Linked DNA regions of Caenorhabditis elegans. The protein of the gene in region 1 interacts with the protein of each later gene in a pairwise test. Each region holds a gene or a part of one and is shown on either strand. Other genes may lie near its edges.

Region 1 (3,600 bases):
CAACATGAATTTTGCAATATCTTTCAACAAATGAATTTTTATATCGTTGATACGGTACTTCAATATTTTCCTTAAATCTTGTTACAGTTCTTCTGGGCTCCACCTCAGACCAATGATTGGCTCTTCATCTGTCAAGTTCAAGCAAGCAGCACAGAATACTACACTACGTATTTGGAAAATTGATGATCAATTTTATTTTATAAATTTTATTCTTAATCATTACTTGTTCTAACATCAAAAGGGTCGACTACATGGGAATTTTTTTACAATATTTTTTTGAGATTTCTTTTATTTTTTTTATCAACTTTTATCAAATAAATTGAAAGCATGAAAATGTAAGATTTGTTGTTTTTTACAAAAAGAATTATTGGAAGTCAGTGAATGGTAAGGCGCCGTCAGAAATCATTGGTAGGATAAAAATTAAAATTATTCTCCAGACATCATTTCCATGAACTCATCGAAATCGACAGTTCCGGAACCGTCAGCATCAATTTCAGCAATCATTTCGTCGAGCTCTTCCTCTGAAACATTATCGTCAAGAGCACGGAGAATGTCACGAAGATCTGAGACGTTGATATATCCGTTTCCCTGAAAGTTAAAATTTAGGCTTTAAAATTATATTTTCTTCAATTTCAATGGTTCAGACTGTAAAAGAAATATTGATGACATACCGTATTTTTTCTCTTGAACCATCACTCAACTTTGATGGCTACTATCTTGGTTGTCTTTAGTTCTATTTTTGAAAAATTACTATCAGAATTTGGAGAAATATTTTGTACATACTTTGCCAGTTGACAATTTTTGATTAAACTAATGAAAACCGAGATATAAGCTGACAACGTGAAAAAAGGTCATGCTCAAGAATTCAACAAATTATTAGTTTACAACAAACAAAGTTTTCAAAAAGAATTTCAGAATTCACATAATTTCAAATAGAAGAAATACATAGGACAAAAGTATTGACTTTTTTCATATTTTTCTCAAGATTTACTTCTCTCCTTTCATTTTCCCTAAAAATATTAGAAACCAAAATTGCAAATAAACATACTTCTTTGTCGTAAAGACGGAAAGCCTCGCGAAGCTCCTCCTCGAGTCCTTCGTCGTTCTCATTGTTGACAACAAAGTTGGCAACCATAGCGGCGAACTCTTCGAACTCAATCTCTCCGGAACCTGAAAAAGGATTGGTACTGTAGATTTATGGCCGGTGGGGGAAGTATACCATCAGCATCGAACTCCTTGATGAGCTGTTTCAAGTCACGCTCTTCGAAGGCTTGTCCCATGGTACGGAGGATTTGTCCGACCTGGAATTTCAGAGTTTAACAATTTCTTGGGAGTATTTTAAGAAAAATTCAAGAAATTCCAATTTGAACAGCAATTTGCTACAAAATTAAAACTCCACAAACCTGGGTAGCACGAATATATCCTTTTCCCTCTTTATCGAACATGTTAAAGTATTTACGGAATTGCTCGATCTGATCGGCAGAAAGCTTTTCCAAAGCATCAGCAACGACGTCTCCCTACAAAATTGCACATATTCACAGATTTATTTATAGACATAATTAGCTACAAATTACCAATAAAACAAAACTCTTACCATGATTGATGATTGACCTGATCGACACGAGGAAAAGTTTCTTCGACAAAATGCGAAAAGAGAGGGAAAATCCACAAACTGCTCAAGTGGCTTACAGCGCGGGAGGAGCTCTAACGAGAGCACACAATGCGTCGGCGGGGGATGTGTTTGGATATTGGAGACAGACTGTTAAAATGTGTGAGATGTAGACATAAAAAGGCACTGTGCAGGGATACAGCCGGATAGAAGTAGAACTCGGGGGCTCGGAGATAGGTAAACTGATAGAGCATTGGTGGGTACAGTTGAAGGCATTTTTGAAGTATTCGGGGAAAGAGTAAGTCAATGTGTTACTACTATAGAAACTTCCAATAGTATTGGGCAGTTTATCATCTGAAAATTTTGAAAAAAACGAATGTGCTACAAAATACTAGCTTAAAGTAATTGGAGTAATTGGAAATTTTCGATGGTGGAACTAGCAAAAAAATTTTATTCAGAAATGTATTGTATTCAATTAGTATTGAAAGCGTGGTCGTTTGAAGTGAAAAACAACTTTTAAATTATAGCCACTTATTTAATTATATAGCCACTTATTTAATTATAGCCACTTATTTAATTATAGCCACTTATTTACTTATAGCCACTTATTTAACTTATAGCCACTTATTTAAAACATACGTTGCCCCCATCATAAACTATTGCTCTGAGATCTACTCCCCTTCCCCCAACTCCTCACTCTCTGCCATACTTGAAAAACCGCTTAGGACCTTCACCAACCGCGTCCTGCAAAGGTGCAACGTTAAATTCACCTCTTACGAAAACAGACTGTGCATCATGGAACTATTCTCCACCAGACACACTAGAATTAAAGCTCAAATGAAACTATTATATAGACTTCTTACCGGTTCTACTCATTTCTCTAAATTAACTCAGTTTGTCAAGTTCTCTAATTCCAATAGGAGACCCATGATTCTGGTTAGGAAAGACACATGCACCTCTCATTTCTTTGCCAAATCCATTCCTATTTGGAACAATCTTGTCAAAAATATACCGGTATTTCTCTCCCCCTATCAGTTTTCAAGTTTTCTCGATCTCAATATTCCCCGGTATTAACTTTTATCCGCTGGTTCTCTTTGACTTCTAACTGATCTCTTCTACCACATTACCCTCTCTCTCCTTTCCCGTCCCAAACTCGAGACGTACTCTTTCTGGGTTAGTCTCGTTTTACCGTTTTATTTAACACTCAAAATTCAATTGTACAGTTGTAAATTGCATTAGTTATGTTAAATAAATCAATCAATCATCTGAAAATTTTGAAAAAAACGAATGTGCTACAAAATACTAGCTTAAAGTAATTGGAGTAATTGGAATTTTCGATGGTGGAACTAGCAAAAAAATTTTATTCAGAAATGTATTGTATTCAATTAGTATTGAAAGCGTGGTCGTTTGAAGTGAAAAACAACTTTTAATTAGTCTGATTAATTTATTAAAACAATTGAGTAAAAGTACAGTTGTTAAAAATTGAGAAAACCAATACAGAAAAAATACCGGACAGAAATTTTGTAATCATTTCCAAGAAAAAGTACAATTATAAAAACCGAACCTGGATATCAGAAAAACCGACTAAACTGTTTGAGGAAAAATAAATAAAAATAATTAATAATATTAAACTGAAACACGGGATTTCTTCTTGATTTCCTTGACAAGTTCTGGATTGTAGAATGGATTGGCAACGAGTTTCACTGGAGATTGAGCCTTGGCAACATATTCTGGATCAAAAAATGGATTTGGGATGAGATGGGCTGGAGCAGGAGAAGTTGAAGCTGATTGTCCAGTTGAAGTGGCTCCACTGCAGAATCCGGAGTCCATTCCAGTGTCACTGAAGCAGGCATCATCGGAGAATTGTTCCTGATTGGCCAAGTTCTCGTAGTAACGGTACTCTTCTTGCCTCTCCATCATGAAAACAGCCATTTTTCGAGCATGCTCATCAAGGCAAGATTTCTGATGAGTGTTGAGACGCTTGTTTCGAG
Region 2 (3,836 bases), on another chromosome or scaffold:
GTGCATCATTCTCCAAAGAGCAGCCATACGGAGCTCTGGCTTGTTTTGGCGGTTCTTGTAGACTGGAAGGAGAACCTTCTGGATCTTGCGTGGCATAACGTCCTTGAGAAGACGAAGAGCATCTACAGCCTCAGTGCGGATGGAAAGTGGTTGACGTGGATCTTGGATAATCTGGACAAGCTCATAGACGGAGAGGTCGATTCCGGCGTTTCCAAGGGTCTTAAGAGCAAGAACCTTCTCGTATGTGGAGTCAGCGTTACGGAAGTGTTGCATGAAGACGCGAACGTACTTTTCCTTGGTTTGTCTAGATGCTGGGCGGATCAATGGAAGGTCTTGGGTCTTTGAAGCAAATCCACGAACAACAGATCCTGCGGCGAGCCAGGCAGATTGGCGGAGTGGTTCGTACTTCTCAGAGAGTGGCGATTGGGCGAGTTGGATAAGAAGATCAGCAATGTGCTCACTTGGGTAAAGAGTTTCTTGAACAGATTTAAGAAGCTCAGCAGCTCTCAATGGTGTGATGCTCTTCTTCTCGAAGTGATGAATCAAGTGTTGAATGGTGTTCTTGGTTCCAGCGACAGCCAATGTGGTTTCAATGACAAGTTGAACCTAAGAGAGAGCATGATATTAGTGATTATGAAATGTGTATTGGTTACCTTCTTCTCGGCCTTAGTGTAGATGGTGGTGTGAACCTTCTTGAGTTCTTCGATGGTGCACATGCGGAACATGCGGACGGCGCGGGCAATAAGGTGGACAGTTTCTGGGGTGTTCTGCTCGTGCTCTTGAATTTGGCGGAAGATTTCTTGAAGTTGCTCAACCTTCTGCTCCATCTCGATAGCCTTGAATGGGTTGACCTCAGCCTTGTCTCCTTGTTGGTAGAATTGCTCAATAAGCTTCTCGTTTTCCATGGAGTAGACGATCTCCTCCTTTGGTCCAGAAACCTGAAAACTTGTGTGCTGCTGTTAGAGTTAGCTATCAAAAGCCCGTAAAATATATTTTCAAATAGAATACCTTCTTGATCTCTCTGTTGATCTTGCTCTCCTCGACGAAAGTGACCTTGGCGCGAGTCTCAGACTTGACGACCTCTTGTCCATTGACATTCAAAGTGTAAACGGAATGAACCTCAGATTCTTGCAATTTCTCGTTCTTGAAGGTGTAGGTGTAGACAGTTTGTGGCTTAACAAATTGCCCCTCCTTCTCGCATTCCTTGCACTCAGATCCAAAACGAAGACCATAAGCAGTCTCTGGGCGAGTGATGCATTTGTCGAAGTTGACAGATTTGGTGTAGATGGTCTTCTCTCCCTCTTGAACAATGGTGTAAGCGACTTCGCAGTCTCCTTCCATGGTCTTTTCATGAACATTGAAGAAAAGAGAATCCTTGTCGGATTCCATATCTTTCTGATCTTGGTTCATCTCATCAACTGGAGCTGACTTGCGGAGAGAGAAGAGATTGAGAATCGATCTTTTGGCGTTCTTGGACCACTCGGCATCTTCGGAAGAGAATTGGATCTCAGAAATAAGTCCATTTCTGATTTGAGCACGGAATGGAAGCTCAAGAAGCTCCTTGAACTCATCGGAAAGCTCACGTTGCTCCAAAGATTCGATCTTTGGCCATTGCTCAGATTGTGGAATGTGGGAAGCAGAGTATTGAATATCAGTCAATTGAAGATGAATGTAACGATCATCAACAGCTTGAAGACGGGTACGGCAAGAAATCAGGGTTTGGGAAGCATCGGAAGATGCGGTTGGGAGTCCAGAGAGAAGAAGTCCGTCAAATTTGTAGACGTATTCGCTCTTTGGAGAGAAGGTACGGTCAAGAGCCGGTGAGGCGGCAATCGCCAAGGCGACAAGAGAGGCAATGATTATCGACTTCATTGCGAGAGTGACTATGGCTTCTCCGTTACCCTTTTTATAGATGCAACTGAAATTGACACTATTCCTTCAAATCATCCTATCTTAACAGATTTATTCGATAAAGTCAATGTCAATCTGAACTTTTACCGCATTATCAGTTGAAACTGAAGTGCGCATGTCGTTCAGGTAGCGATCAGAGTACAGCTGTCACTCTTCTAATTCAACGTGCATATCGTGGTCGACGTATATGTGACCGTTATAAGTTTTTCTGAATGATTGCTTGAATGAAGTTAAAAATTTTTCTGTAGTTTAAGGATACATAACTATGTAGAGAGAAACCAATGATTGTGTTGAAATAAAAAGTTCAATTCAAAAATAGTATCAAAGGCTCTAAATAAAGACTTTGATAACTAAACAAAGCCAGAGTATTTGAAGTTACATATGTCCCCAGTAGACAGTTTTGCAAATGTCCCAATTTTAGTACCTTTTAAAAACTTTCACCTATAATTTTTTCCCTGTATGCTTACCTTCTAATTTTTCAACCATTTTAATCAAATGACTTACTAGGCTCATTGCAATTCTTCTTAAATTGTGCAAACTTTGATGCAGTTTTGATGTTAAGGAAACTTTTGACAAAAATGTATTTGAAAAGTGATTGTTTTCATTCACAAAAAGGACAACTTCCACAAGTTTTTTTAACCTAATTTTGAATTTTCCAAAACATGGCCAGGACGAAATAAGGCGTTCATGTTTGCGTTTATATTAAGAAAAAATAACCACATGACAGCTTTATAAAATTGAAATAAATATTGTCGTGAAAGAAATCATTGGAAAACGGGATATTAAAATATCAGGCACGTTGACATTGTATTAAATGAGGTTCATTTGAATTTACTTGCAATTCTCAACAAAACCATTTTCTTCTCCAAAGGCCGCCGCGAGTTCAACCATAACATCCTGAAAGTTTACTGATTTACTGGGAAAAAAAATTTAATAAACATTTATATTTTTGCTTTTGAATTTTTGAGTTCCCCACATATGAACAATTGGCAATTCGTCAAAAAAAATCTGAAGGAGTATCTTCATAGGTATCACTGTTTTTAATTTTTGAATAGAACCTACGTATGCATCTTTTTCCTCGACGGTCACCATTTCCGTAGTATCGATGCTGGAAGTCTTGTTGATTTTGAGATTCTGAAAAAATTGATATTTTTCAGATGTAACTGTTGTTTTTAATCCGAATGTTGAGATTCTCGTTTGTACATTAATAATACAATTTTTTTTGACATCCTAATAAAACCGTAGAATTTGGATTGTGGCGAGACCCACTCAATAAAACAGCTTGTGCATTTATCTCAGATGCCAAAAAATTTCAGAATTACGATATTTAATCATGGAAAAGTTGAATCATGTAACATTCTGCGCTATTACCTCGGTTCGTGCTGAGGCTATCGCTCCCGTAGATTTTGCAGCACTGGTTTTCGATTCCATTTTCTGAAAATTTACGGCATGATTAAAAATGAGAATACAAAAATTATTGATCGCTTCTTTCAAAAATCTGGCTGTGGTCGCATAAAATTAGTACAAAAAACTAAGGAAAGAAGGGAAAGGAAAGGACACCCATTGTGGGATGTGCAAATGACTCAGTCGTCCACGAGAAAAATTGTGTTCGTCGAGACCCACCGCAGAGGGCGAAAAGTAAAAGGAGCATTTTAAAATGCGAAAATGGATGAGTCGTACTCTCGATGCCAAAAAGATTTGTGGATATTAGCTGAAACACGAAATAGCTAAATACGATCCGATGGAATATCTTCTGAGCAATAGTGATGAGTCAACGAAATTAATTTGATAAGCAAACACGTTATTAATAAAATTTCAAAATCCTGTTCTATTTGTCATCATCATTTAAGTAACGAAAAATGAAATCTGACTAATCAGTATAAAAGTGAGACAAAATAGTGTTTTTAATAAATAGATTGTATTTT

Evidence for each region. The genes of interacting proteins can lie anywhere in the genome.
Region 2: the proteins of tnc-2 (region 1) and vit-5 interact in a two-hybrid assay, tested with the Caenorhabditis elegans proteins (one large-scale study listed by BioGRID).

The regions. Positions count from the first base shown.
Region 1 is NC_003280.10:10,464,934-10,468,533, reverse strand, and holds tnc-2 (Troponin C), read right to left. Parts: upstream 1,683-3,600; 5' UTR 1,598-1,682; coding exon 1,595-1,597; intron 1,518-1,594; coding exon 1,404-1,517; intron 1,302-1,403; coding exon 1,220-1,301; intron 1,171-1,219; coding exon 1,049-1,170; intron 589-1,048; coding exon 427-588; 3' UTR 184-426; downstream 1-183. Other genes in the region: clec-143 (VWFA domain-containing protein), read left to right, coding at 88-183; sdz-37 (SKN-1 Dependent Zygotic transcript), read right to left, coding at 3,236-3,600.
Region 2 is NC_003284.9:3,401,517-3,405,352, reverse strand, and holds the start of vit-5 (Vitellogenin-5), read right to left. Parts: upstream 1,883-3,836; 5' UTR 1,873-1,882; coding exon 1,009-1,872; intron 939-1,008; coding exon 654-938; intron 607-653; coding exon 1-606. Other genes in the region: C04F6.9 (Gag-pol polyprotein), read right to left, coding at 2,743-2,808, 2,974-3,045, 3,283-3,342. UniProt on the Caenorhabditis elegans protein: Precursor of the egg-yolk proteins that are sources of nutrients during embryonic development. Together with other vitellogenins, may play a role in modulating life-span, acting via induction of autophagy and lysosomal lipolysis.